Linked DNA regions of Zea mays. The main gene of each other region encodes a partner of the protein of the gene in region 3 in a complex. Links are inferred from orthologs where the notes say so. Each region holds a gene or a part of one and is shown on either strand. Other genes may lie near its edges.

Region 1 (4,829 bases), on a different chromosome or scaffold from region 3:
CAACAACAAAGTCTTTTAGTTCCAAGCAAGTTAGGGTAGGCTAGAGTAGTAGAGTTAAAACCCAACAAAACACATAAGTCAAGGTTTGGACACATGAATAGGTATTTTCCATGCACTCCTATTCAAAGCTATATCTTTTCACATACTTAATATAAAAGTGAAACTCAACACATCTTCCAAATGAATAACAACATACATGTCAGTAGTCCTTAGTCCATTTTGAGTTTTTGGTACTTCCACCCTTACTTCTAAATAAAATAATCTGAACTATGAAACTGGACCAAATTTTAAGTCATATCCCTGAATCAACTGCCTCACTACTTTTGCTAGTTATTATTGTCAATGCTTTATGTTGTTATCTAGGGTGAATCGGGATTTCATAATATTATTAGAGTAAATTACACTAGTCCCTAACCTACCGCACGATTCTCATTTAGATCCCCAAACTATGAAATTGCATATCTAGGTCCCTAAACTATTTAAGTATCCCATCCCGGTGCAAAACAGTCACATCACAGTTCATTAGCTAACATTGCACTCTAGCGTGGAACCGACATGCATGTCCATAACTCATAATTACAAGGATGATACCTAAACTATCATTGGATTCTTACAAAAGTCTCAAACTATAAAATTTGGATTAGGATTGTAGTACTTTAATAGGTTAGGGACCTAGATGAGTAGTTTTATAGTTTGGGACCTAGCTGAGAATCCTATGATAGTTTAGACAGCCCTTGTAACTATGAACTATGGACCCATATGTCAGCTTCACGCTGGAGTGCCACGTCAGTTGATGGACTGTGATGTGGTTATTTTGGATCAAGATATGATACTTATATAGTTTAGGGACCTAGATATGCAATTTCATAGCTTGGGACCCAAATGAGAATTACATAATAGTTTAGGGACCGCCAGTGTAGTTTACTCATATTATTACCACTGATAACGCTTCATATCTTCCAACATGTGTCTCATCTAGTTTCCTCGGCGATCAGTAAAACCAACTATTTCAACTTCCTGAACTCTTGCTATGCACAATTAAATTACAAACATGTGTTCAATAAAAACACCATGCCTGAACCTTGAATTATCGGAGTACAGGAAAGTAAATGCAACTGATAAAGGTAGGAAGTTACTTGTACATGAATCCTAGAAGTCAGTAAATACTACAAGGGCATGAAGTTTTAAATCTTGTCACAGTGCCCAGACTAAGCAATGAAGACAAACGATTTAGAATATCGATAAAAAAACTGAGGCAAACAAAATCTGTATTGACTTCCTCAATACCTGAGTAATATTTGAAGAAACAGTGCCAGCTTTGGGGTTAGGCATCAGTCCTCTTGGTCCTAGAATCTTACCTAAGCCCGCAACCTGAAAAGTAAACAGAAATAACTCAGGCTGATAATCATTTAAAGGGGAGCCCACATTGAAAGTTTCTACGAACATGTCAAATAATGCAACAAATATATACAGAACTTTGGACATTTAGTTTAGCATTAGTTATCAAAGAATGAAACATCTCACACATGTATTCTTGTATTCCGAAATTAGATTGGCATAGCCAATCTATTTTATCTATAGAAAACAAAAAAATTAACAGTTTACATGGTAAGACACTTAGGACCTATAGTAAGCACAACTAAATATTTCATTTCAAATTTTGTGGTAGTATCCAACAGTAAATTGAAATGAAGGCAGAACTGTTAATAGCTCATACCTTAGGCATCATATCAGGTGATGCAATCAATTTGTCAAACTCCATAAATCCTCCTTTTATTTGTTCAATCAAATCTTCTCCACCTACGATATCAGCTCCGGCAGCTCTAGCTTCATCTATCTTCTCACCTGTGAGGTCAGAAAATAACTATTAATGCATATAATGACCATGATTATTTCAACTACTGGTGCTACCATCTTTATGATAATGACAAGAAAAACATGACTATCTTTCACAAAGGATATGAAAGAGAAGTTTCAGTCATTCAACAAGGGTTTGCTAAGTGGACAGCACAAAAATAGCACCATCCCAACTCCCAAGTGACTTCTTGTAAAAAACAAAGAAGTAGAAACATCATGAACATAATAAACTGATTGTTAAATTCTTCTACCAAGATGCCAAAGATGAATTAACTTTGTCCAATCCAATATGTTGCATTTGAACTCTGAAAGAAGCCATGGTACTTTAAGAAGAAAAAAAATACAAAATTAACCAATCGGGTCATCAGCACACAATGTTTGCATAAAAATAAAGACAAGCGTGTTTCAGATTAAACCCATAGTCACACATGAGGCAAGGCAATAGTGTCAAACAGAACAATCACACATATGACCCACTAGCACAGTGAATTCAGTTTGTACTAACTATCGCTCAACAGGATTTCGTTGTGTTTCAATCACCGCCCACCTTGTGTGAGAACCGCAATCTTCACCGACTGGCCTGTTCCCTTGGGCAAATTCACCTGTGGTCACCACGACCAGCACAAATTAACGAACGCAACAGGGCACAAGCAACCAAAAAGAGAAGGCCAGAAAAGAAGAAACAATACCGTGGCCCGGAGCTGCTGGTCATTGTACTTGGGGTCGAGATTCATGCGGAAGTGCGCCTCCGCTGACTCAACAAACTTGGCACTGGACATCTGCTTCATCAACGAGATGGCGGTGGGCACGTCGTAGTCCTTCTTGCTCTCCCTCAGCTTCTGTATCTCGAGGAACCTCTTCGACCTCGTCTGCGCACCATCAAAACTAGCACAGCATCACCGGCCGTACACAAGCAAGCAAGCCACAGGAACCATATACGGAGGGTGGGGTATTCGGCGATATGCGTACGCGGTCGCGCTTAAGCAGTAGCGCGGCCTTGCCGGTGCGCGGGCGCGTGGGGGCCGTGAACGCGGGGCCGCGCCCGCCCTCATACCCGTCGTCGTCGTCGTACTGGCCCTGCTGGTCGACCTCCGCCTCCTCTTCGAGCACGGCCCCCTGCGGGTCGGCGATGGCGGCCGCGGCGGGGCGGCGGAACGCGAGGAGGAGCCGCGGGTACGCACGCAGCGACGGCACGGAGGAGGGGAACAGCAGCGCGTTTGACGAGGCCGGCGCCGTGCTGCTGGCCGCCGGCGCGAGGAGGGAGGAGGAGGCGGTGGCCGCGGCGGCTGTGGCCATGGTGGAGGCCGGGGAGGATGGCGCAGCAGATAAGAGGGAGTGGAGGGATAGAAAGAGAAGCCGAAGTGGCAGCGCGGGTTGGTTATAGCCGAAAGATCTCGGCCTGGGTGTTCATCGGATAGGGCTGGTCGTGGGCGGGCTCGCGGTCGCAGCCTCGCAGGGGCAGGGATGACGGGCGCCGCGCCTGGAAAACTCCTCCCCCCTGATTCCAGTGATTTTGGCTCAACCGAGACGCCCGGTCACCTGCCTGATCTTGGTTGGGAGTTGGGACGAGCGGGTGTACGAGTGTGCGATCGTGTCGTGTCCGCGCGGGCGACGGGTAAGGAGAAACACGGCGAGTTGGCTGGGCCGAGACGCGCGCAGGTGTTCGGAGCTCCTGATTTGGCTCAGCCCCGAGGACCGAGAGCCATGCGGATGCGCGCGAGGCAGCCGGACAGGTGTGTGGTCGCGGTTCGCGTGTGGGTTCGAGCGGCAGCGACGAGGGACGCATGTGTGGCTGTGGCTGCCAGCCTGCGACTGCGAACTGTTTGTGTGTGGCCCTTGACTCTACTCTATATCTATACTACTATATTATTTAGATTATCCACCAAACAAATTCAGATAGCTGGATAACTCTATCACCCTTACTCAAATTCAATGATGAACAATATTATCTAGATCATCTATCATTTGTCATGTCACCCTTCCCTTTCCCACAATCTGTCGCCTCCAACCTCTCCCTCCCTCGCGTCCCCGTCGCCCTCTCCCCTTCACTCGTGCCTCCACCGTCAATTCCTCCTATAGTTCTGAGGCCTATGTTGTAATACATTGGTAGTGTGACCATAACATGTGGTTTTCTCACTTTGTAATCAGACTTTAGGTTGTTTCAATGGCACACCACTCCACATACATACAATGAACTTTAGAAAGTGCAGGAGCTCCAACTTTTTCCCCTGCTGCCACCATGTAGAGGGAGAGAGAGAAAATTATCTCATATATCACTACACTTTTAATATAGAATTTTCTTTGTGCGTCGCCATGTGTCTCTCACGCGTGAGTAGGGGTGGTAATGGGCTATAAACTTTATACTGCAAATTTTAAGGATCGAATCGGATTAGGGTCGGGCTCTATTCTTATTCATTTTTGAACTAATATTATTTAAGGGCCTTAACTTTTGTGAAGAGGCATTTGGATCGTGATCCATTACCACCTCTACGCGTGAGCGCCCGTGTCCGTCCAACGCGGCAGGGCTCCTACCACTATGGCACACATCCATTTGTGGTACATAAAGGAGAGATTATATATATCTATACACTATAATTTAAAAAAAAAATATAATCATGTTTGAATATATATATATATAATTTAAGGAAATGCAACATATATGATATACAAAAACTGTAGCAATATTGAGAGCACCTAGAAAGGGGTGAATAGGTGATCCTGTAAAATTCAACACTAATAGCCACAAAACTTAGTTGTTAAAGTTAGAACGGCTAAGTAGCTTGAAACGAGCTCTTGCGAACACAGACAATCAAAAAGAAAGCACATAAGAGACACGTGATTTTTATCTCGTGGTTCGGCCAAGTAATACTTGCTTACTTCCACGTTGTGGCGTCCCAATGAACGAGGGTTGCACTCAACCCCTTTCAAGTGATCTAATGATCAACTTGAATACCACGATTTTTCTTCCTTGT
Region 2 (4,360 bases), on a different chromosome or scaffold from region 3:
CACTCTACCACCGATCCTAGCTCCGCTAGCTAATACACTAGTGCACGCTAGTGCTCGATCTCTCTAAACACCCAACCAATCTCGCACTCGACCTCCAATCCAGGCACAAAAAAAATAGAGTTCGAAGGGCCCAGCAAATCTGAGCGAGGAGTCCGCTCAAGCACAACCCGATGCCAACAACACGTACGTACGTACATGTTTATGTTAAGAAAACTAAACTCGGTTAGGAATTCAAAACGATGGTTTGAGTCAAGTCTCGGTGCCGGGGCCGGGGAGAAAACAACTAGTAGAGCGCAACAACCGAACTAGCATGCATTGGCGTGCATTACAAAATTGTGTGAGACTGAGTGACTGACGCACCGTTGCCGACACACACACCAAACCCGGAGGAGGCTGGAGCAACGGCAGTTCCAGAAGAAAAAAAGGTACCAAAACCTGTCACTCATGGGGAAGGGATCACATTCACATTCACATTCACCAATCACCATCATGGCCGGTCGGTCGCGGCGTCTCTCTCTCTCTCTCTCAATCCTTCTCTTTTTTTACAGTCACGGCTGATATGATCTTGGGTTTTATCTAACCCTCCCCATCATTCTCGTTTAGACCCAGCCTGCCTGCTTGCTTGGCCTTTTCGTGTCCTTTTCAGTTCCAAACTATTCACCGTGCAGTGGCAAAGATCGATATGGACTAACATTTTACAACCGCAAGCACGCTATAATTTGTCACAAATAAACAAGAGTGGGAAAAAGATAGAGGAAATGCGTTGTGTCGGTCGGGTCCGGCCGGGGTGGGGTGCGGGTGTGGGTGTCGCCGGCGAATCGTCAGACGAGGCAATGATCGCCGGCGGTCAATGTCATCTCTCCGTCCCCCTGCTGACGGTGCGTGCGGTGCGGTGACTGCTGCTAGTACAAGTAGTAGCAGCAGCCTGTGAGCGCCGTGCGCTGCTGCCTCTTTGAAATTTCTGGCATCCCTAGTGCCGCCGGAAATCTAACGCACACGGAGACGGAGGAGTAAACAGTGCAAACTGCAGCGAGTGAGCGGATGGAGCGTCTGGACTCTGGAGAACACGAGATTATTAGTGGGTGGTGGTGGTGGTGGTAGGGCCCTGTTTGCTTGTGTGGTCTGGTCTGGGCCATGATTAACTTGGACCCCCAAACGCTCTGCATCTCCCGCGCTTTCGTCAAGGATCCTAATCATGCCATGTGTCGGTCGTCTCCTCTTCTTCCGGCTCCAGCTTTGCCGTTGCCGCCGGTCAAGCCCATCATCATGCCTACTGCTTCTCTTGCTCTTGCTCTTGCTCCACAACAAGCCTGCCTGTCACTCTAGCTAGCTTCCCCGGCTATCTCCCCACGTGCCGACGCTAGCTAGCTGTGGCCATTCAGCGTCTCTCTGTGCAGCTCCGGAGGGAGGAACAAGATGATGCCCTTTTGGTTCACATATCATGTTTGTTTAACTCTAACTGAGCCTATTCAGACTTATTATCGTTGGTACTTGAATGTGAATCATTATCGTTACCACTTACGTTACATATCATGAACCAAACACCACCACACTGATCATTTTGTTTTCCCCCTGAATGATTCCTTCGTGAATCCTGTGTTGCCTTGCCTAAAACTACAAGGACCAAAACCGGCCAGGAGCATAACACCATTTCCCTCCCTTCCAATTCGGCCAGACACTCTGCAAGCACCACGAGGCCCATCTGCAAGTAAGGCCCAAAAACTCCAGGACCCAAAACACTGGGCCAACCACGAACGAGCCCACGTCTCCCGACTGCATCCCTTCTCCACTCCGTTATCACCAGCGCCCACACCTCTGTACCTCACCGCCTCATCTGCTCTCTTCCCCCGTCTTCTTCCCAAGCTGCCACGTTGCCTCCCTCCGCTCCAGCGGCCCATGGCCTCCATGGCGTTCGCCCTGGCGGGGGCCTTCAAGGGCCTCTCCCTGGCGCCCACCACCACCACCTCCTCCTTCCCGCGCTGCGACCGCGCCTCGCTCTCCGTCGGCGGCGCAGCGGGCGTGCCGGTGCCGGTGCCGGCGCGGCGGCTCACCATCCAGATGGCGCACAAGAAGGGGGCCGGGAGCACCAAGAACGGCCGCGACTCCAAGGGCCAGCGCCTCGGGGTCAAGATATACGGCGACCAGCTCGCCAAGCCCGGGGCCATCATCATCCGCCAGCGCGGCACCAGGGTCCTGCCCCCCTCTTGCTCCCTTCGCTTCCCTTACCTGTTACTGGTTTGCTTTGGGTTAGTAAGACAGCCTAGGCTCTTGCTTGCGTGGATTATGGTACCTCGTTGACTGGCTCTGCTGGGCGACATAGCTCTCTCTGCCTAGCGTTTGCTTGCTGCTCACCTGCTGCTGCTGCTGCTGATGCAGGTTAAGCATATTAACCACCGACCAGTACCTTCATACGGATTACGGACTGCGAATGCTAGAATCTTACGATGTACCTAGAATGCTTGCCATTGCACATGTTACGTTGGAATGTATGCTGCCATTGTGCATATCTGCATTTTCCATAGTTTACCACTCTGCAAAAGCAGGAAAGAAAAGATTGCAGTTTCTTGCATACATCAGATAACGGGAGGGGAAAGTGCACACACAAACCTCGCTGGGGAATGTAACGTACTAACCTCAATGCCCTATGGAGCCAACTGGTGGTGACTTAGGGGGGTGTTTGTTTGGGATTATAATCTGCCCAGGTTATATAATCCAACAAATTTTGAACTAAACACCCACCTTACTCTGCACACATGGTCAGACATAGCTGTTCAATATTAGGCATACTGTAAGATGGTCGGTCAATCCTTGTAAAAGATATTTCATGAACTTACATGTCTTACGATTTGGTTGGTCCGTCCTACTTACCAGCGCGCTTCAAATATTTAAGATGTTTATATATTATGGATACTACATGGTTTATACCATCGTGTCCCTTGTATAGAGTTCGTTTTGGTCCCCGTTTTGTGGTCTGTCTGTTCCTTGCCGTTTTTAAGTTTTTTCTTAAAATAAAATCTTTTGGACATTTCAGGTCTATCCTGGAAATAACGTTGGAATGGGCAAGGATCACACACTCTTTTCTTTGATAGATGGACTCGTCAAGTTTGAGAAGTATGGGCCGGACAAGAAAAAGGTTAGCTGTATCTTAGTTACTACATACTGAAATCTGCTTTTACTTGCATCTGACTGAGATCTGGTTGCACACCAGATATATGCTCATCTCACTACCTCTCCTTTCATAGGTTAGTGTTTACCCATATGAGAAGGAGCCTGAAAACCCAAACAGTTACAGAGCAAGGAAGAGAGAGTACTTCCGCATGCGGCGTGAACGGAAGAAGGCGAGAGCGGAGGGCGCCGCTGAGCCTCAGTTGGTACTAGCTGCTGTTGATGAAAACTCTGAGGTCAGCGCGGACTGCTGATAAGTTTCCTGTGTGGTGTTTCTCTTTTTCACAGCCCTTGTTACACTTTTTCTTCCTTAATTGTAAGACCACATGATCTATAAAGGTCATATTTACATGTGTTGTTTAGATAAATGGATATGTTCTACTTGTACTTTTTGTGGGGTAGTTGTGCTTTAGAGTCACAGTGGGGGTCTATTCCAACTTCCTAGACCACTCCACGTAGGGCGTGTTTGGTTCGGCTTTTTTCTGAATAGCTTTTCTGAAAAGCTGGTGGTTAGAATTTAGGTGTTTGGTTCGCCAGCTGTGCGGAAAAGCTGTTCGTTAGAATCTAGGTGTTTGGATACACAGATTCTCAGATTGCAGATTCTGTTTGAAGAAACTATACACATTAACACCGAACCAACAAAAGGTCATTACATATAATTAGTGGAGTTCATTACAACATAACTACTGTTACATTTACATATTTAACTACGGCACTAATGCATTAGCAATTGCATCTCGAAATGCACTCATGTCTAACTCATCAGATGTGATACTACTACTCTCACCTACAGATACATCATGACCAAGGCTATTAGGTCCTAGTTCATCAAAGTCTCTATCGTGTAGAGCACTGTCTCTAATGAAGTTATGCAATGTCATACATGCAATAATTATCTTGGATTTTTTCTTAAGCGAAAATGAAGGGAGACTTAACAGAATTCTCCACTTCATTTTAAGCACACCAAAAGATCGCTCTATAACATTGCATAGCGACGAGTGTGCATAGTTGAATACTTCTTTGCTCCTAATAGGTTGCCTCGCATTTTGTCATTCTGCAATGTGATACTTCTGAGCCTTATAAGGTGCAAGGTACCCCTTTCTATTTGGATAACCTGAATCCATAAGATAGTATTTACCTGCACAAACAGAATTATACAGTTCAATACTTAAGACATAAATGAATATCGTATCAT
Region 3 (4,889 bases):
CCTCATGTTTAGGGTCCACCAAAAAGGTAAATGAACGTAGAATTTTCCATCAGCATCCTTTTTATCACTCCTCCAGGCCTACTCCCGGAGTCCCGGTTATGCTTATGCGTGTACCCTAGGCAATTTGCCTCTCTTAAGTCTTAACACAAACACGATTGCGTTTTACCTTAAAATATTGCATAAGGCACCAACCGTCACCTGTATGTGTGGTATTTTATTTTATGTTTCCATGTTTATTCCCACGCATTCCAGCATTCAGTTACATCCACAACAATTTTACCAAAAGATATAGGTCACATGAGGAAGCACATGTCTATTCTACAAACTCAGAAGAAAATATCACACCTCGCCACCCAAGAAAATTGGTTATGAAAACTGTCGATCAATTTCGTATATCCAGATGGCAGGCCGAACATTGAAACAATCTGCCACTTCATACCATACGAGGTCAAAATTACAAACTTCAACTGGAAAATAAAGATTTTAGGTTGATTTAAACCGTACCATATTACATGACTACTCATTGACAGAAATTTGACTGAATTTCATGCATTGGTAAACATCAAAATTACAAAGAGGATTTATACTCCCCCCCCCCCCCTCCCCGATCAGAGGCATGGTTATGAGGATAGCATTCCAAACAAAGGGCAAAACCTTCTGGGGAGGAATTCGCCACTGCATCCTTTTCAGTCGATGAATTCTCTATCCAGTTTTTTGTATTCTTTTATCCCTGATCGGGAGTGGGACAGGTTTTTGAGCCTCGTGCGGATGTTCTGTCCCTTTGTATACCTTGAGGTGGGTAAATAATCTTCTTCCCAGCTGCAAATTGGCAAAAAAGGTGAGCATATAAATGTAAATATAACAAGTATATAGCACATAACAAAACTAAGTTAAATCAAATTTGCCATCAACAAGAAAAATGGAATGGTTAGGGGGGATGCTTCAGATAACAAGATATTTGCCTGCCATAATGTGAGTTTCAGTAAACGCATCCATACTACCAAACAATTGAACTAAGAAGCAATTTGCAAGAAAAAGGTTAATAGGCAATTTTTATGGAGTTCATGCAACACACCTTTGCGAACTTAGAAAAAAAAAGATCGGCAAGATAATTAACTAATTCAATCTGGACTTGTTAATTTTGTTCAATAACAACATTCCCTTGAATTTAGTACTGTGATTTATTCTGAATGTCACGCTTTCACTGGGAGGTACATGCTGATGCATGAGCAATGTTCTGACTGCAATACACTTCAGGGCTTGTTCGTTTCGCCGTTAATCCATGTGGATTGAGTGGTATTGAGTCGGTTTAAATCCATAGCAAGTCAAAATCCATCCCAATCCATCCCAACACACCAATCCACATGGAATTGAAATAACCGAACAAGGCCTCACCATTAACTATAGTAGTTCTCAATCTCAAAAGAAAAAATTCACATCTGCTAACTAATACCAAATTGTAATTTTTGGGACCTTAAAATAAAGGTCACCAGGAAATTTGGTTGTCATTTTCATATTTGGCATACATTATAACATGCGCACTAAAACGAGAAAGAGAACATGTAGACCTGAGGCAATCAGCTAGTAGATGTTTTTTCTTACCCTTCCCTTGGGGAGCATGCCACGAACCGCATGTTCAATGATTCTCTCTGGAATTCTTTTCTGAAGTTGGTCAAAAGTTTCTTCTTTCATCCCTCCAGGCCTTCCGGAGTGCCTCCTATAAAGCTTTTGTGACCGCTTTTTACCAGAAACAGCAACCTTATCTGCATTGACCTATGTGAATAGAAAAGGTTGTTAATGACTCTCAGCATTGTAGTGTAACACAATAATGCATATCATCTACTCCATCTGTTCCAAATTATAAGATGTTTTGGTAATTCTAGATACATAGTTGTTACTAAATATCTGGACATGAATTATGTCTAAGTGCGTAGCAAAAGTAATGGATCCAAAAAAAATCCAAAAAGTCTTATAACTTGGAACTGAGGGAATACGTGGTAATGAGCCTTTAGAGATGCACCAGTCACAAAAGGACTATGCTAACATAAACATTAAACACAACTACAGTTGAAGATTATTTGAGGAAGGTTACTCACCTCAGTACCAAATAATCTGAGGGAAGTAAAGCATGTATACTAAGGCCCTGTTTGGAACCTCTACAGCTAATAGTTAGCTGCTAAAATTAGCTATACAGGTTCCAAACACCCACAACTAATTGTTAGCTAACTCACAGTTAACAATTAGTTCATTAGCTGGCTCAACCCAGCTAACAATTTGTTAGCTGGCTACCTGTTAACTGTAGGGATTCCAAACACTATAGGTATTGAGAGAACGCTTACCACAATAACAAAAGCTCCCATGTCTACACTAGGAGTGTAAGTGGGTTCATTCTTTCCCCTGATATGTACTGCAATGGTGGATGCTAGCCTGCCTAGGATCTTGTCTGTTGCATCAACAACATACCATGTCTTCTCGGTAGTTACATGATCTGCAGCCTTAGGATACCAGGTTGTATTCCATATGTCCTGCAAATTAAATCACTGAATCAGATTTCAGTAGACACAATTACTTGTGGAGTAATTCATTAGAAGAAAGAACAAGGCATAGTACAAACAAACCATTCACTTTGTACCCATAGTATTAGTAACTGATCCTAAACAAGTCACAATTATGAACAGGCTGGTTGGCAACCATCAGTTCACTTTGACTTGCATGTCCAATTAAGCTCATTTTTAATGAATTCTCTCTCACCACAAACAGCCCATGGGTAATTTTGGATATGATGGCACATGGCAGATAACATATATAATGTACGCAGTTCTATTGTAACTTGATTGCCCTTCATCATGCACATAAAAGGATAGTCGAAGCCTCTGAGGTGGATTAAGATGGCCACGGTGAAACATGAACAAAATAGGATGGACACTGTCAGTCCAGGGTTACAATCCTGCAAAACGAGCTGTGAAAATGTGCACATTGTTTCAAGAGAGGAAGAGAGAGCGTCGTACGGGGCCGCAGAGCTCGTCTCCCTCGAACATGAAGCGCTGCTCGCGGGGCACGAGCGCGGCGAGCGGCTGCCTCTTCTGCTTGTCGCTCTTCTCGCACCGCACGGCCAGTCCCACCGGGGCGGCCCGGCGCGGCCCCACGGACGCGGTCCGGGTCAGGCGGCGGTGGTAGTGGCGCGGGGCGAAGGCGGAGGAGAGCAACGTATGGGAGGCGACGGCCGTAGCCATTGCGGCACGGCGAGCGAGCGGCAACAGGAGGAGGATGTGCAGACGGTTGGTTCAGTGGGACGCGGCCATTTTTAGGCGCAGTGGGGAGCGTCAAGCGGATAAGGGGATAGGAGACAAAGAACAGGGAAAGGTTAACAAGAACATATGGGCTTCATGGGCTCAGAACGAAATGCAGATTTGGCCCATTACGACACCTTATCAGCTCATCTGAGATTTAAACGCTTCCTTTGAAACTCTTCCCAAACTCAGAATAATGGCGGTTCCATAATTCCATCTAAAAAAAAGAAATTCAATGTATTACTATTGGGCAAAGGGAGCTGCATTAACAAAATATAGCTTCAGACAGGACCATATTTTTTTCAAACGATTCCGCTGTTCAAGTACCAATTAGAAACATCGGTAATCAGAGAAATTCTCGAGTCCAAATAAAATGACGGGAACAGAACTTCCATTGCTGCTAGTTTCCGCGACAACCATCAGCAGCAGAAGCCGAATTAATTGATAACGGACACCATTTTCACATGTTCCATCAGGAAACGGAAAGGAGGCAGAAAAGTGTTCATTCTCTTCTAACCAAAGAAAGCATATCTTTTACATATATAGTGGCAACATCGTGTGATTGCGTTGCAGTGAAGCAACAGCTTAACGTGTTTCTGGTTCAGATCCAGGATTCCCTCGCAGGAAGAACGCAAAGATGATAATATACAACAACAAAATTGTGAACCAGAGATGTCGAGTATCGACGATTAGAACCATATGTAAATCAATGGTTAGTTGGCTACCAGCAAATGAACTGGGAGGAAGGTTACGAAGTAGTAGAAGACCCTGAATTTGTCTGTGTAAGAGGTTTTACTTTCCTTGTGTGACCCAAACTATTCACAAGATCCCTGCGAGTGCATACAGGAAACATGCTCAATCCATGCATGTTTAGCCGCCACAAAACGTATGGAAAACTGAGCTGATCACGAGATGTGAAGCGAACCACTTCATTAAACCAAGCACACATGAAATGGTTCGTTGCAGGGGTGAGTTCCCTCACAATAACAGAGGCTTCGGCTAGAGCTGAAAAATCAAACGGGTAAATTCATTATAACAGTTCGGAAAACATATACAGAGATATTCCACAGGAGCAAAAGAACAATTGTTTGAGAAAGATTAACAGACTGACCTTTCAGTCCGTGCAATCTTTTTGTGTCCGGCATTCCATCTTGACGATACCGAGTCAATTGTACCTCTACCTCTTCAGGGGTAGCCTTGTGCTTTTGAACAATAGCTTTCCCCTCATCATATATGTTACTCCGTGCTCCATGTTCAGAGATAGCAAATGTAGAGTTTGTCCTCCAAAGAAGAGCTTCAAGCATTCCTATAGGATCTCTTCGTAATTGGTATTTAGAGTCAACCCATATAGAGTACCTTGCCTCTGTGAAAAGGCGATGAGTCAACATCTGCAAAAATCATGTTAAGTGATTTAGTATCTGAACACACTTTGTTTCCCAATCCTAAAAATAAAATATCAGGCTTAGGAAAGTGAGAATGAGAATTTCTATCATGACAAATTGGTACAGAGGATAGATTATGACATCTTAAGATTTCTACCTTTGGTATCTTCCCATTTAATCGTTGATCTACAAAAGGGAGGCTCCTGACAACAATGAT
Region 4 (4,609 bases), on a different chromosome or scaffold from region 3:
TTTTCCATTTGTTGATACATATAAGGGCCAGTTTGGAAACTTAAATCCCCTCTTAGAATACTAGTTACATGCTTTTGTTGAAGGGATTTAAGTTTCCCCTCTATATAGCTTAATTTCCCCCTCATTCCTCAGGAATCCTGAGGGGATTTAAGTTTCCAAACTAGTCCTAAAAGCAGCATGGTGCGTTGACGTGGAAATTAGAAACAACTAGTTACATGCTTTTGTTGAAGCATTGTGGAGGAACTTCATCCAGTGTGCTATGATCAAATGTAGCGTGATTCGCTACACCGATGAATGATCAATGTTCACATTTGATGATAGAGGTCGATGCTTGTGTTGTGTCATTGTTTCGGGAGATGAAATAGAATGTACAAGGGAAATGTATTACTTGCAGAGCATCTCATTTCACCAATCAAAGGTTGTGTAGAATTGTGCATAATCTGGTTTAAAATAGATGGTCGTACTATTAAGATAGTCAACATTGTTTCCATATCTGTCATCTAGAGCCACTTGAGTGATCTAACTTTGCATATGTTGCTAGGATCAAGTGGTGGATAAAGTTTGAGATAAAAAACCTTTGAAAATGCTAACTAAGTCTTAAAGGTGTTGATCATCACGTGGGAAATCATTTGGAGTTAACTTTCTTTGTAAAAAAAGGTTTTCGATATTCTCCTAACCAAGGGTTGTGTCTTTGGATTTGAATTCTGGATTAGTCCATTTTGTTCTGAATCAATTATTAAAGTGGCTATCGTAGCCCTTTAAATAAAATTTCCGAAATGTCTAATATCATCGAAGTCAGAGTTTGGATGAAGAAGTTATGAACATTTTTAGTTGAGCCGGTGTGTCTTGCTCAGTAATAAGCATATGCTAAAAGCAAGAGAAGAGTACATCGCAAAGAAATTCTATGCAGAGCCGCTATCAGATTCACCAGCACCAGCTTTTTTCTTGGCAAAGTACTCTTCTGCTCGGGCTTGGTTCTTTAGATAATTTTGTGGAAGCCATTTCTTTCGTTTAGGTAACAGAGTTAGGGAACAACCAGCTGCCTCAAGCTTCTCTTTAGCTGAAGCTGAAAACGCTCCAGCCTTGATATTCAACTTAACTGATACATCCCCATCTCCTAAGATCTACAAACAGGTGAACAACAAGTGATCATGAAGGTAAGACAAAATATGATTGCAAAAACTAACAGGTGGCACATGCCACTTCATGTTTATGTTAGCAGATATGGAAGTTTGTAGTTACTCTAGAATATATTGTAAATCCAATGAACAACCTATGGGAACATTGCCAAATTGTACAAACAAAGCTATTCAACACTTCAAGTGGTGCTCATCTAACAGAAACAACCAAAAAAACTCGATCCCGTATTGCATGTTCTAATAGATGACTCTAACTCAAGTGGATAAACTTGGTACCTAACATTATCACAGGCTAATTCAGAATCGATACAACAACCTATAAGAAGTAAAAAAGTAAGAATACTGGCCACTCAATCTAACGACAAATCACTAAACACTTCGATTCTTGCTTCAAATCTGGGGTACAATAAGGTTGCCTTAAAGAGAACATGTCCTCACTGGCCAAGACCTAAGCCAAACCCTTGAATATGAAGTCATTCATATTTTCGAACGTGTCAAGTTCTATGTCACAAATACCAGTCCACAAAACAAGTTTTATTGAAACAACCAAAGGTTAATCATCAAAAGATTTACCTTCAGCGGCAGCTTCCTTTCCCTGCCTGATGGATTGATCAGACCCCGTGATTTCAGGCTTTCCAGTGATATTTCGTCACCATCTTTGAATCCGCCGCGCACTATGTCTTTTAAATTGAATGGCACATACTTCGGCAGGCCAATGTGCATCCCTGAAAAGCCATGGTGGAACTCACATCAGGCAACTTCTCAATCACTTGCATTTCTGCATTCCTTGTAACCTTGATGGGCTCTCACGAGTAACAACACAATGCATAGTTCAATTAGTTATGCGCCAGCCTGGTGTGAATTTAATCACGGATGGGCAATGCCGAAGTGGGGGTGTGAGACAAGCATCTGTCTGAACTAGAGCTTAGCGAGTTGCTTCGATTGAGTGCATTAGGGGAAGCTTCGGTTTAACTGAAGCAACTCACCGCCGGCAATGCCCCGTAGCTTGGGGAGACGGCGGTAGAGCGGCATCTGCCCTCCCTCGAACCCGCGCCGGACGCCGGGCCCCGAGCGCGATTTCTGCCCGCGCATACCGAACCCGCAGCTCGCGCCCTGGCCTGCAGCAATACCGCGTCCCTTACGCTTGGGCCGCCGGCGGGACCCCTTCTGGGGCCCCAAATTGTCGAGCCGGAACTTCTCCACTGGCGCTGCGGCGTCCGAGGCCTCGGCTGCCGCCGCGGCGCTGCTGCAGACGACGGTGACGCGACGGGGCGGGAGCGCGCGGAGCGGGAGGGCGCGGGGCGCGGCCCAGCGGCCGGCTAGGATTCCGGGACCAACGACGGAGGAGGAGGTGAAAGCCGGGATGTGGAGGAAGATGGCGGTGGGAGCGAGGGAGAGGAGGGTGATGGAAGCCATGACTGCCGTTGGAAGGGCTTGCGAATTGCGATTGTGGATAGAAGCGGATAATTGGGGTTTGGGAACGAGATAAGATGGAGACGATGGGCCTCTTCCACTCTTTATTTGGGCCTGTTTTTCAAACAGCCGTGGCCCATTCATGTCAATAATAATAATATACTCGAAAGTTGTATATAAAGAAGAAAAAATCGGTATTTTTCTGAATAGAAGATAGAACTATATCAAAACTTTGATACATTATATTCTCTAACGCTTAGACAAACATAGTTAGCAACTAAAATAATTGAGTAAGGGATAGAACCATACCTTTTTCACATCTTTTCAAAAAGATTTGCAATATGCACAAACTTAAGCAAAAAACTCTGTCCGGCAACCAAACACATCCTTAATTGCTAGAATGTGGGTAGAATAAGTTATTCAAGCAATGTTCAAAAAAGCGCGATTAAGCGCCCGCCTAATCACGATTAGACGCTAAGCGGCATGTTAGCGCTGCGCTTAGGCCCTAGGCGGTGGTTTCCGCGGTGGGCGCGTGTAGGCGGCGCGTGATTTGCGCTATGCGCGCTGAGGCGGAAAGGAGGCGTGTGGAAGCGGGGTTCGGCGCGCGGGGAAAAGGTGAGCACGGAAGCTGCTGCGCGGGAATAGAAAAAAGCTGCTGCGCGGGAATAGAAAGTGAATAGGAGGGAAAGAGGTGGGAGCTGCTGTTGCCCGGGAGAGAGTGAAACAGGCTGGGAGCTGCAGCTGCTGTTGCATGGAAGAGGAGGAAAACAGGGCCGCTGCCAGACTGGTCCTCTTCCCCAGCTGTCCAGGGCCGCCACCGTCGGTTCCTCTTCTCCTTCTGGTCAAGTCGTCCAGGCCACCGGGGTCAGCGCCTCTCTGCTCCTTTTCCCTAGCTATCCAGGCGTGCTCTCCCTCTCCCTCTGCTCTTGCTCTGCTCCTCCATCTCTTCTGTTCTATACTTTTATTCATTATTCCAGGTAAGTACCCCTAATTCCTAGCTAAAACTGTTTTTTCTGTGCAAATATATATATTATATTGTATATTCCTACAAACGCTTAAGCACGATTAATCTACGCCTAAGCTCTCTAGGCGCTAAACAGTGGCCTAACGCCCGCCTAACGCCTAGCGCTTATTGTAACCTTGTATTCAAGTACTTGATGCAGAATTTGAGGGGAGCACACATATCTTGTGTTATTTGAGACTAATGTTTTCTTTAGTGATCTTACATAATCTCAAGGTGGATAGGAGGATTGAGCAAGCTACAAGGGTGTAATTGAGACTTGTCACCTTCATGGTTCACAAAAATGGGTACCTTAGTGAGTACTTTTAATTGGTATCTTAACTGGTGCTTTGATTAGTATTTAGTGTTTTGAGTTTTAAATATATATCATGGAATTGCCCTGATAGCTGCTCATACTTATGATTCTACCTTAATCATAATGCTAAATTGTGCATCCTGCTTCGAGTTAGATGAATGATCTCCCCTAGTGTGATTTATATTGATATCATCTAGAAATTCATCTTATCTAGATGGACTAACATGATAGGAAGTTTTAAATCTAATGCTTTGCAATCTGTGAGATTCATTTGTGGAAAAGGCTAGTTCAAGCAAGTCCTCTCCAGCTTCTCTGCCTAATGATTATGTTAGACAAGAGATAGCTGAAATGTTAGAGTCAACTATTGAGGCTAGGGCATGTGAAGGAAGCGATGAACAATTTTATGCCACATAACACTTTATCAATACGGAGTATCGAGATGTGTTTACCACTCTTAAGACTCCACAAGGAAAGCTTGCATGGTTGAAGCGAACCTGTGAGGAGAGGAAGAAATGACAGAGATGACTGGCTTTGTATTTTTTACCTTGAAGTCATCATTTGCATTGTACCTTGAATTTAATCTTGTTGTATGATGAACCAGGTTTTCAATCTTGTTGCATGATGAGCTTGGTTTTGTATTGTACCTTGAATTTAATATTGAAACCTTCAAATAATTTGCGTGCTTGGAATTTATTGATTTCAACTTGATTATTATTAATAATTTGTACATATGTCTTTCAC
Region 5 (5,183 bases), on a different chromosome or scaffold from region 3:
GTGGCCAGGGAACGAAGTGGAAGCGGCGACCAGAATACATGGGGCGGCGGCCAGAAATAAGGATCATAGTTGTTTCTGGCGCACAGGGAGCTTGGGGGGTTCATCAAAGATTCAGAGGGATTCAGGAGAGGTGGAGGGTGTTTTCTAATAAAATGCGGAGTTGGGAGATGCAACCGTTTGATCGAAGATTAGAGACTGAGATGTTATATGTGCACTATTGCTTCATGTGCACAGGTTACTTCGCCTTTGTAATATGCCTTTGTAATATAGGAAATGATATATGTGGATATTTCTGAGGAAGTGAGGACGAGACCGAGAGTAGTGGGTCCAGAGCTGCAAACGAACACGGGCTGCCCGCACATACAAGCCCGTTCAGGGCTTGTTCGGTTACACCAATCCAGAGGGGGATTGGAGGGGATTAAATCCTCTCCTAGTCAAAAATGACTAGGAGGGGATTTAATCCCCTCCAATCCCCCTCTGGATTACTGTAACCGAACATGCCCTCATAGTTTTTCATCCAAAACTCTGACTGGTGAAGCGGAACAAGATCAGCATATGCTGATGCGCATTGACTTGCGTTGCAAGATTTGGTGACAACTGTATAATTTACAGGGGGAAAAACTGGCGTAAATAACAACATAGAGGGATAAACAGGCTCAATTCAACATGCAAGACGCAGTCAGCGTTCAGAGCATTTTGCAGGTTTTCATGCTAAAACTGTTACTCCGAATTTCCTTCCTTAAAAACCTTTACCCACTTCTCAACACTGTCGATTACTTCACCGGTCTTGACCAGGTATCGGACCTTGGTCCCGTCCTCCAGGAATTTGTGGCCAACCCTGCTTACCACACTCTTCTCCTTAGAGTAGAGCATCACATTTGAGCTATGAATGGGGCCTTCAATCTGATCAAAGAAAATTTAAGTCTGATCAAGAGAACGATTAGGCACCTACTAAAACTACAGATATGCTCTTGAAACCAATATGTGCAAAGCATCATGAGAGGCCCAAAAAACAAGTTCAATAGAAATTTTGCTGACCATGACGATTTCACCGGGTTCATCGTCTGTGCCTTTCTTGTGCTTCGACTTCAAGTTCAGGTCCTTCACGATCACCGTGCTGTTGTGCTTGAAAAGGCGTGTGACTTCTCCAACCTTTCCTTTCTCACGGCCTGCAATAACCTGTACCGTGTCCCCGATCCTAACATGCATCTTGTGCAGCACAGGAAGACTGTTTGGTTTACACTTCTTTCGCTCCCATCTCTTAAGCTGCAGTGGAAAGTGAAGTTTTAGGACATTTCACATTATTGGATAAAAAAGGTATCAAATATTTGGACTAAAGATTTTTTTTACTCACTCTCATTTCAATTGGGCATATCTTGACCATAAACCTTACCTGCATATTGAACATATTAAACAGCTTGTCAGAACTTCACATCCTAAAGACATAAGATTCCATTTCAAATCAAAGAGACACTAATCAGATGCTTCTGAGATATGGCATGACTCAAACACAGTGGTTACGATTCATGTTGATCTGATCAAGACACTACAGGATCCAGGGCTCCTCTTTATGTTTGAGTAATACGATATCCCTTAAAATACAGTGGTTCTATCACTTCCTTCAACAGTGATTACTTGACCTCACTATCTATTCTTTACTTGCTTTTGCTTCTTAACAGAAAGGTTTATCCTCATCCGATTCTTATCAGTTGGGAATTTTCCAGGCACAAGTACATACAGGTAAGGCATAATAAAGATGACACAGAAAAGAAAGCAGGGTTCAAATACAAACATCATTATGCTCATAATACACTATTTGGCGCCAAATTTTGTTTCCAGTTAGTCATATGTATTGTGTGATGTGGGGTAATTCAGGCATAAATATATATAAACAAAATCAGTGGCACATTGAGGGCAACATAATTTCTTCAGTTGACATTTTGACCGCTTCAAAAGCAACATAATTTCCTCAGTTAACAAACTAAATAAAGAGTACTCGAACAAATTTTACCACATGAAACACAGCATACTCTCTATTAGCACTAAAAGGCAAACATGTGCATAGTTGTATATGCAAAAAGGACAATACCGGATTACCAATGACAAAGGAAATTCTCTTACTTAAATTAATCCCAATCAGTTAATCTATTTGGCGCACTCAAATCTTACCATTTAAGCTTCCATGCAAGATAAAAATAAAAAAAGAAGGTAGACGAAATTCAATATGGACACGGTCTAAATTTAGTGTGTGTCGTGGAGCAAATAGAAACTTAATGTAATATGAAATCTAATAAGGGCGAGTTTGGCATAGTTCTACTCCAAAACTTTGGGTGAAGTATATCTGCTCCGAAGTGTAGATTGCTTTCTCATAACCAGTGCATTGGATGTGTCTTGATTGTTTTTGAAGGATTTTTCAAAGTAGCAAAAAATGTACTCCAAAAAATTATACTACAACTCTCAAAACTCTATAGAGTTTGCAACTCTAGAATTAGGGTGTTTAGTTGACTTTGTCCAGGTCTTCCTTAAAGTTTTGCTCTAGAGTGATGTCAAACACCCCTAAACATAGTCATATTAGAAGCCTGGTTTGTCATCCTTGAAAATGCACAATTAATAACAATGCAAAGGTAATTTTCCATTTCATTGCATCCAATCCATACAGACTAGCTCCAAAACCGTAATGCAAGCTCGAATGTCCCTAGAACAATTCCATCCGACCGCGCTTTGCAACGCTATCCAGAAACTCCAGAGTAAAATCTTTCACCAGAACAGCTACTTATTATCTACCAAACCATCAGCAGAACGGAACGGAATTGGGAAGCAGGAACAGACCCCAGGCTGCGGCGCGGAGTAGGTGGCGAGCCGGTTGCCCCAGAAGCTGCTGCTGCTCGCCGTCGCCGCGCCTAGCGCGGAGATGGAGAGCGACGCCATGGCGCCCTGCAGCGATGCCATCCCAGCCATCCTCTCGCCGCTCTCCCTCTCTCACTGGACTTGCTCAGCGCCCAAACTGCTCAAAGGATAACGCACGCGGCTTCTTCGAGTTGCCCGGAACCGGAAGAGAGAGGATAACGCGCTCTTGTATTCTGACGCTGGTGGGTTGGGCCTCGTCACTAAATGAGACAGGCCTCAGGTGAGGCACAGATGGGCCTGGAAGACGCTTAGGTGATCCAGTGAGGCCCATGGGTGCTCGTTCTACCGCCGTGAGAGGCTACAGGCTAGGGCCTCGGCTCCACGAGCGAGCTCCGCACGCATCAGCTGATCAGCATCACTGCATCAGCTATCAGGACGACAGGACGAGGACGGCGGGGTCAAGGCTCTCTTTCTCTCTCCCTCCCTCTCTGCGTGTCTCCTCGCACGCTACGCGAGGCCACGCGAGATTGCTTGGGAGATGCGTGCCCGCCTCCAGATTCCCCGTTCCAGCGCCGAGGCGCGCAAGCTACGCGACGGTTGCTGAGGCAAGCGAACCCCCTACTCCAGTTTTTCACTTTGCTGTTGTGTAAAATAAAATTCGCGTTACAGAGACAGAGACAGTTTGGGCGATGGAGGGTAGGTGGATGGCGGTGACATCGAAGCTTTGCGCTTTTGCTGCTGCAGGTCCCATCCTGCACCGAGAAAGGGTGGGATGTCAATCGGATTTCTCTATTGCAAATCATGGTTGCAAGTTAGACGTGTTTACCTCAGATCTTTTTCTCCAGAGACATTGGGTATCTCTTTTCTCATAGTGGACTACATTTCTCCCCCTCGAAGTCAATATCTCTTTCTTCGACTTTTCATTGCTGGCAGTTCTGCGCATGTCCTAAATCCTTGAATCATAGTAGGACATCCATGACAGATCACATAAACAACACGGCCAATACATCACTGGGCAGTTGGGCCTCGGCTCCTATCGCCGTCATCTAACTACCATCTAGGGAATCAGGAATGGTCCTGCCGTGCAAGCAAACCTTTAACGTTCCCCATGGGATAAGCATGTGACTATGCAAATGCCCGACACAAATTATATCTTATTATGGTTAAGAATCTTGTGTTTATTTTTCTCTTTCTCCTTTTCTATTCGCCACATGTGTTGAGATAACTATGCAAATCGTGACATGAAGTTTTGTTTCTATGTGGCGCTACCAAACAAAATGGATAAGGAAATGTGTGGCTTTTTTCCATGATAATTGCGACAGTTTCATTTCGTAGCTATCTGTTCCTCGTGGCCATAGTAATGCTTTGCACTTTGTTAATTTTGTAAGAAAAGAAATGGCATGATCTAATAATAAGGCCTTCTCTCTATGTGGCTAACTGGCAAGGGCTTAGCAATCCTCCCCCTTTCTAACTATAACCTTTTAAGGCATGGATGCTGGAGTGCTGGGCAAAACTCAATCTGTCTGGGCAAAGCTCTACTTGCTTGCGACACTCCAGATGTGGACCATTTTTTTTCACAGGTTTCGGAGCTAGACATGTCAAGTAGTTTCCTTCGGTTGTTGATTAATTTGCCCACTGTGATAGAGATTTTGCACCTTGTGGCCTCCACAAGAGTTACTTAGTAGAGACGCACGTTGGAAGGGCTTCCAAGACAAGTGAAGCTCACTAGCTCAGCGTTCAGTTGCTTCCCACGCTTCACCAACTGAACAAGGTTTATATATATGTCATATGATCCTATCTAGTACTTATTCTTAGACTAAAAACACTATGAGTTAGTGCTACCAACTGAAGGATACGCCATGGCTGTTCTGACACTGGTTAATATCCTTATCAGCTTCGCTGCTTGTGCTGAAGCTCTAAGGAGAGCAGACTTCCCTCAAGGTTTCGTCTTTGGCACTGCTTCTTCAGCTTACCAGGTATGGCCTCTTTCATTTCATCCGATGTGCTCTTAGTTTGATGTTTGATTCTGATCAATATGTTATCAGTATGAAGGTGCTGTCAACGAGGGTCAACGTGGACCTACAATATGGGATACTCTCACAAGACGACCCGGTGAGGCTTTATCGAAAAGTGGAGTAATAATATACTAATATGTCCAGAATTGTGACTAAGTTAGCATTTACTCTGCAGGACGGGTGATAGATTTCAGCAATGCAGATGTTGCCGTTGATCACTACCATCGTTATAAGGTAAGCTGCCAGTGATTCAGATATGTTTCTGTTATCTTCTACTATATTTGATTTAAATTCATTCAATTGCTTTACTAAAGCTGGAAT
Region 6 (4,952 bases), on a different chromosome or scaffold from region 3:
TACTGACTCTTTATGCTTGATCACGAATCTTTGCAGTGTCATAGTTTCTTGTTTTTTACTCCCATATCTTATGCTCTTACCGTATGATTGTGGATGTGTATCAGTATTATGCCAGCACTGGATGAAAATTTATCTTGAAATGCAGGTGGGAATATATGAAAGGAATAGGCCGAAGAAGCGGCAGAAAACGAAAAAGAATGGCAAAGGCAAGGATTGGCTCCTGAGGAAAAAGGAGCAGATGAGAAGAAGAGGACATGATGTGCCCGCCGACACGAAGTACACCGGGCGTAAGCGGAAAGGCTATTTCTAGCTCTGTGCAATGCCCCCTTGCCTGCAATGCTGGCTGTTCAGTTATGATGCTAGTTCATTTAGCAGAAGCAGAAGGATTTTTGTAAAGGGTGAAGCGAGGAGTTGTACTGGTATTCGGGAGTCATTGCATTTTTAGACAACGATGTGAAACTGTCATTTTTGTAGAACGTGGATGTTGAGATGAATACAGTTGGTTTGCGTGAATCTGTATCAGATCGCTGGTGACGCCCAGACTTTGGCTAAAAGAAACGCAGTTCATGTGTCAAGTACGTTGGTGTTCCAATCTGAATAACGCTCTATGGAGCCCCATACTTAGCAAATTTCTTGCCTTTTTTTTGTAGTGGATGCAGACGTAGAGGTGGGGAAGGTTAGAGGACAAGAAAGAAGGGTCGTTTTTGGCGAAGTAGTGCTCTACAGTTCAAACAAATTGTTCTTTACAACAATTTATATTTTCCGCCTCAAAATCAACAGATATAATTGTTGAAAACTTGACTTCACACGGTAGGGAATAGGATGCGCAGTGAGCCAGTGAATTGTGTATCAAAACCAGGCAAGTCACGGCCAGACCAGGCCTCATGTCTACCGCAGCACCTGGCACTTGCAGCAAAATCTCTGCACTAAACAAAAGCAACTGTGTAAGAGCAAGACCAGCGGAATTCTAAGAGCCAAATCTCAAGGAAAGAACAACGGCAAATGAGCTCGCCTGGCAAACATCAGGCTTCTCCAAAGTCCATTACTCGAGGTTCTGTAACTGCTGAGCTCATTTCGCATAGACATTCAGCCTTACTCGCGCTGTCACGTCTGGGTGAAGCTTGATCTCTGCAACATACTCTCCGATTTCACGGATTTCTGGAACCGTCACCAGCTTCTTGTCGACATCCCTACAAGACACAGCGTGCCAGCAGTAAGAGAAGCAATATAATGATGAGAAACGCTATTAAGATTGCCTAGGAGTTAGGAGCATATGCACTTGCCTATTAAGTTGTGACTTTATTATGTCAACAACATCCTGTGCCGTGACACTGTACAATAAAAGATATCGTCAGAAAAGTGAAAGTAAGACTATACCCAGCAGATAGTGACACTATAGATTGCAGTGTGTACAAAGTAGAGTTTGAAATGAGAGATGGAGATGGGTAAGCTGTAAGAGATAGCCTGAGACAAGAGAGAATAAATAATGGATTGTCCAACTTAGAACTTGCCTCCCAAAGATCTGTTTTCCTTTTCCACCTTTGCGAGGGAGTTTGAAAGCGCCAATGGTTTCAAAAACTCGAGCAAGTTGTTGCGCGTCTTCTTTTACCTATGTAAATAGAGGACTTCTTAAGGCCATAATTATAAACAAAAACTGATAAAAATGCATTGATAGAATTTCATGAACATATCATGCTTAGGACTTAAATTACGGAGGACATAAAGGCACTATATTTTCTTTTCATAAGGAAAGTAAGGATAAACTGCAATTGAAGTTTACTCTCCAGACAAAGAAAAAGGTCGCTGAGGTTAAATTGCAACTACATTTATTACTGAGTAAAATATTTTTTCCTACCCGCTTCTTCTCAGCTTCTATTCTCTCCTGCTCCAGCTGCATTTCCCTGCGAAGAGAAGTAGAGGCAATAAATTCATTCGCAATCTTACTTACCCATCGAATCAAACAGTATGTGTGTCGACCATTGCAATTCTATTAGAAAGGTGCATGGATTGGATTCATATCTCAATCTAGTTTTGCTAGGTGCCTAGGTCCCAAACCTCAGAGTCAAACTAAGCATACCACAGAGAAGGTCATACGGTTGCCAGCAGCCACTGAATCATTTGACAGAGTGTGGACTTTGCAATTACTTGAGGATTAAATGACATAACTAACAAAGCAAAGCAAGTGAGGGATAACCGAGAGCTGGTAGCAATTACTTGAGGACTTCTGGGGTCAGAAGTGTAGCCTTGCCCTTGGGAAGGAGGAAGTTGCGGTAGAATCCAGCTCGCACCTTCAGTGTATCCCCTTTCTTCCCCACCTCTTCTATGTCGTCTGTCAATATGACCTATGGGAAAGAATTGTTTTTTTTATGGAGAAAGGTAAAATCACATGTAATGCTAAGGGTGGCGGTAATAGCTACACAAGATAAGCACCACATTGTCAATTTAACTGGATGCACCGTTGTTGCATTCTTGTACAATCAGGCAAACACAGCAAAAGGAACGACTTATGAACTGAACTCCAACTAGTGAGGCAAGGCTCCCATCAAAGGTATTTCATCCCTAGTATCTAAATCCCCTGCCTAAAAGCCTGGTTAGTAGTAGTAGTAGTACAACTCTTGGAGCATCTAAATTGTGCGAGCCACTATATCTTACCTGTTGCCAGTGAGACAGCTAAGCTAGCTAACTTCATTTGTATCTATTGATCACAATATACAAACGTACCGACGGCGGTGCATCAATTTTTTTAGAGAAGAAAACTAAAACGCGGCAGGTTATGATGCCCTCAGCAACCCGCGTGCATTAACTGATTGCTAAGATGAAATCAGCACAGAACTCGAACATAAGAACACGCGGAAAGCCCGGGCCGACCTGGCGGTACTTCTTGACCTTCCCCTGGGCGACGATGACCAGCGACGGAGCCCGGCGAGAGGCCGTGAGGCAGCGCCCCGCCGAGGGCCGCGGGTAGGAGGCGGGGGTCCAGGGCAGCGTGGAGGCGCACGACAGCGACGCCATTGCTCTCGCGCTTCGCTACTCAAGCAAGTGGCGCTTCGGTCGCCTCCTCCGCTCGCACCGCTTTCCTTTCTTATCCATCCACTGACTTCGCGAGAGGCCTAAATAATGGTTTGGGCCCGGAAATGAGAAAGCGGCGGCGGCGGCCCAATCGATCTGGAATGGATAATGTCACGGCTCCGTAGAGCCCGTTTCACAGCTTCTCTCGCCTGTCGCGCTGCGTCCATGGCGGGAGCCTGCGCGGTCGCCGTGCCCGGATCCAGCCGCGTGAACTGCCGGCGTGATAGCCCTTTCTCGAAACTGAGAATTCGATATCACCGAAACGTATTTCTAATAAATAGTTCCATCGCATCTTGTAAGTTGGATAAGTTTGCAATTCGATATCGGTGAATTTGATTAATCCAAAACCTCAAGTACAGTGTTTGTCTAGTCCCGGGGTTTGGGATCAGCATCCCACAGCTTCAGACTTCTACGCCGCTTGCCAGACTGAAAAGGACTCCAACTACATAAAAATAATTGCTTGGCAAGAATGACAAGGGACCAACGCCGCGACGATATTAGTTGACAACTTTCACTCCCTCGGTTGCCACTCAGCCTGAAAATCTTGCAGCTCTCCAATAAAACGAATATACGAGCTCGTGGGGACCCCCAATGAATCTAAGAACTTTGATTGGACTACAGCACCATGTAAGACAATCTTCTATCCTGCAGTAAATATTTACAGCCTACAGGTTGTCGTTCAGCCACTTCGCAGCGCCATTAACAATGGACCTGAAAGAATTCAACATCTAGGTCAGAATACAAGAGATAACCCAATCACAAAAATGTCTGATGAACTAAATCAATCAACATTTTTTCCTCTCGAACTCAGCCAACCTTTTATTTTTCTCGAACACAACTAACACAGTTAGGATGGCTCAAATTTCAACAGAGGTTATGCATCTGCATTCAAATCTCCCATTACTACAGTGTAATTTCCCCTTTTAAAGAATACTCGGAAATGTAATGCAGTGACCAAAAATATAGTTCATTACTACAAGATTAAGTTGGGTTGGTTCAGATTTCAATAAAAGAGGCATCTGCATTCAACTTCCCATTACTATTTACTACACTAGACCGGACGGGGCGCTCCGCTGCGCCAGTTTCGAAGTGCGTGAAAGAACAGGTAAAGTGATAAGTCGTTCAACAGCGATCGGTGAACAGTAATATTCAGAGATACATCAGCCAACACGCGTGAAGCCACGGCCGCAGGCTGGATAATTTAAAATGCAGGCGTGAAGAGAAAGGCGTTCAGATTTTAAGAAACTTAATTTGTAATTTTCCCTTTTAATAAAGGAGTACGTGAAAATGTAACGGCTGCCATAAACAACTAGGTAGTTTATACTTTATACCACCAGAAGTCCAGAACAGGGAAGTATAGTACAAAACCTATATGCTCAATGTAATGATTTTTTTTTCAGCGCGGTGTTACCTCATTACCCTTTAGTTAAGAAAAAGAGACAATACAAAACCTATTTTTCAGCAGGATGAACAGACATAATTATCACGTGATTTTTGGCATTGTAGTGAAATCAAATCAAAGAAGTTACCCAGCAAAATCTGTAAGTTTCTTCAACCAGTCACCCTCTGCTTCTTTAGATTTGCTTGTATCTTCTTGACTAGCACCAACTTCTTTCTCTTGATGTATGGCTGCAACAAAGATAAAAAATGTAAGGCTTCAATTTTCTCTTAAGAAAATCTCATTCCACATCAAGCGATACCAACAAGACACCAACAAACTTCTCATAGTAAAGATCCAAAATAGGAATAAATTCTTTGTTGTGGGGAGAGAAGAGAATAAGAAACAGAGTGGTTAGCATGTATACCTTTTGGCTGGGCAGGTTTTGGCTTAGTGTCTGTTCGTGCAAAGCGACCATTACTCAAAGATGCAAGTTCCTCAAGTA

What was found.
Region 1: 50S ribosomal protein L13, chloroplastic-like (region 3) and 50S ribosomal protein L1, chloroplastic-like share a complex: the UniProt entries of both Arabidopsis thaliana proteins name them as parts of the 50S ribosomal subunit. The link is inferred for Zea mays from reciprocal best matches to the Arabidopsis thaliana genes emb1473 and EMB3126.
Region 2: 50S ribosomal protein L13, chloroplastic-like (region 3) and 50S ribosomal protein L27, chloroplastic share a complex: the UniProt entries of both Arabidopsis thaliana proteins name them as parts of the 50S ribosomal subunit. The link is inferred for Zea mays from reciprocal best matches to the Arabidopsis thaliana genes emb1473 and RPL27.
Region 4: 50S ribosomal protein L13, chloroplastic-like (region 3) and 50S ribosomal protein L15, chloroplastic-like precursor share a complex: the UniProt entries of both Arabidopsis thaliana proteins name them as parts of the 50S ribosomal subunit. The link is inferred for Zea mays from reciprocal best matches to the Arabidopsis thaliana genes emb1473 and RPL15.
Region 5: 50S ribosomal protein L13, chloroplastic-like (region 3) and 50S ribosomal protein L24, chloroplastic-like share a complex: the UniProt entries of both Arabidopsis thaliana proteins name them as parts of the 50S ribosomal subunit. The link is inferred for Zea mays from reciprocal best matches to the Arabidopsis thaliana genes emb1473 and RPL24.
Region 6: 50S ribosomal protein L13, chloroplastic-like (region 3) and 50S ribosomal protein L9 share a complex: the UniProt entries of both Arabidopsis thaliana proteins name them as parts of the 50S ribosomal subunit. The link is inferred for Zea mays from reciprocal best matches to the Arabidopsis thaliana genes emb1473 and RPL9.

What each region holds. Positions count from the first base shown.
Region 1 is NC_050101.1:154,264,846-154,269,674, reverse strand, and holds the start of 50S ribosomal protein L1, chloroplastic-like, read right to left. Parts: upstream 3,209-4,829; 5' UTR 3,154-3,208; coding exon 2,827-3,153; intron 2,727-2,826; coding exon 2,547-2,726; intron 2,460-2,546; coding exon 2,405-2,459; intron 1,846-2,404; coding exon 1,718-1,845; intron 1,372-1,717; coding exon 1,288-1,371; intron 1-1,287. UniProt on the Arabidopsis thaliana protein: This protein binds directly to 23S ribosomal RNA.
Region 2 is NC_050103.1:167,360,188-167,364,547, reverse strand, and holds 50S ribosomal protein L27, chloroplastic, read left to right. Parts: upstream 1-1,834; 5' UTR 1,835-1,896; coding exon 1,897-2,190; intron 2,191-3,031; coding exon 3,032-3,133; intron 3,134-3,242; coding exon 3,243-3,419; 3' UTR 3,420-3,547; downstream 3,548-4,360.
Region 3 is NC_050098.1:202,897,379-202,902,267, reverse strand, and holds 50S ribosomal protein L13, chloroplastic-like, read right to left. Parts: upstream 3,340-4,889; 5' UTR 3,234-3,339; coding exon 3,009-3,233; intron 2,526-3,008; coding exon 2,340-2,525; intron 1,774-2,339; coding exon 1,603-1,773; intron 820-1,602; coding exon 703-819; 3' UTR 416-702; downstream 1-415. Other genes in the region: uncharacterized protein LOC100285659, read right to left, coding at 4,039-4,295, 4,402-4,678, 4,830-4,889.
Region 4 is NC_050096.1:27,446,446-27,451,054, reverse strand, and holds 50S ribosomal protein L15, chloroplastic-like precursor, read right to left. Parts: upstream 2,557-4,609; 5' UTR 2,556-2,556; coding exon 2,126-2,555; intron 1,865-2,125; coding exon 1,713-1,864; intron 1,125-1,712; coding exon 903-1,124; 3' UTR 818-902; downstream 1-817.
Region 5 is NC_050100.1:50,135,434-50,140,616, forward strand, and holds 50S ribosomal protein L24, chloroplastic-like, read right to left. Parts: upstream 3,016-5,183; 5' UTR 2,959-3,015; coding exon 2,830-2,958; intron 1,394-2,829; coding exon 1,355-1,393; intron 1,267-1,354; coding exon 1,039-1,266; intron 904-1,038; coding exon 721-903; 3' UTR 535-720; downstream 1-534. Other genes in the region: beta-glucosidase 25-like, read left to right, coding at 4,707-4,823, 4,893-4,959, 5,038-5,096. UniProt on the Arabidopsis thaliana protein: One of two assembly initiator proteins, it binds directly to the 5'-end of the 23S rRNA, where it nucleates assembly of the 50S subunit. Required for optimal plastid performance in terms of photosynthesis and growth.
Region 6 is NC_050100.1:222,785,247-222,790,198, forward strand, and holds 50S ribosomal protein L9, read right to left. Parts: upstream 3,085-4,952; 5' UTR 3,013-3,084; coding exon 2,869-3,012; intron 2,343-2,868; coding exon 2,215-2,342; intron 1,902-2,214; coding exon 1,856-1,901; intron 1,610-1,855; coding exon 1,512-1,609; intron 1,332-1,511; coding exon 1,284-1,331; intron 1,191-1,283; coding exon 1,070-1,190; 3' UTR 1,013-1,069; intron 927-1,012; 3' UTR 702-926; downstream 1-701. Other genes in the region: methyltransferase WBSCR22, read left to right, coding at 146-310; Chaperone protein dnaJ A7A, chloroplastic, read right to left, coding at 3,735-3,780, 4,599-4,698, 4,875-4,952. UniProt on the Arabidopsis thaliana protein: Binds to the 23S rRNA.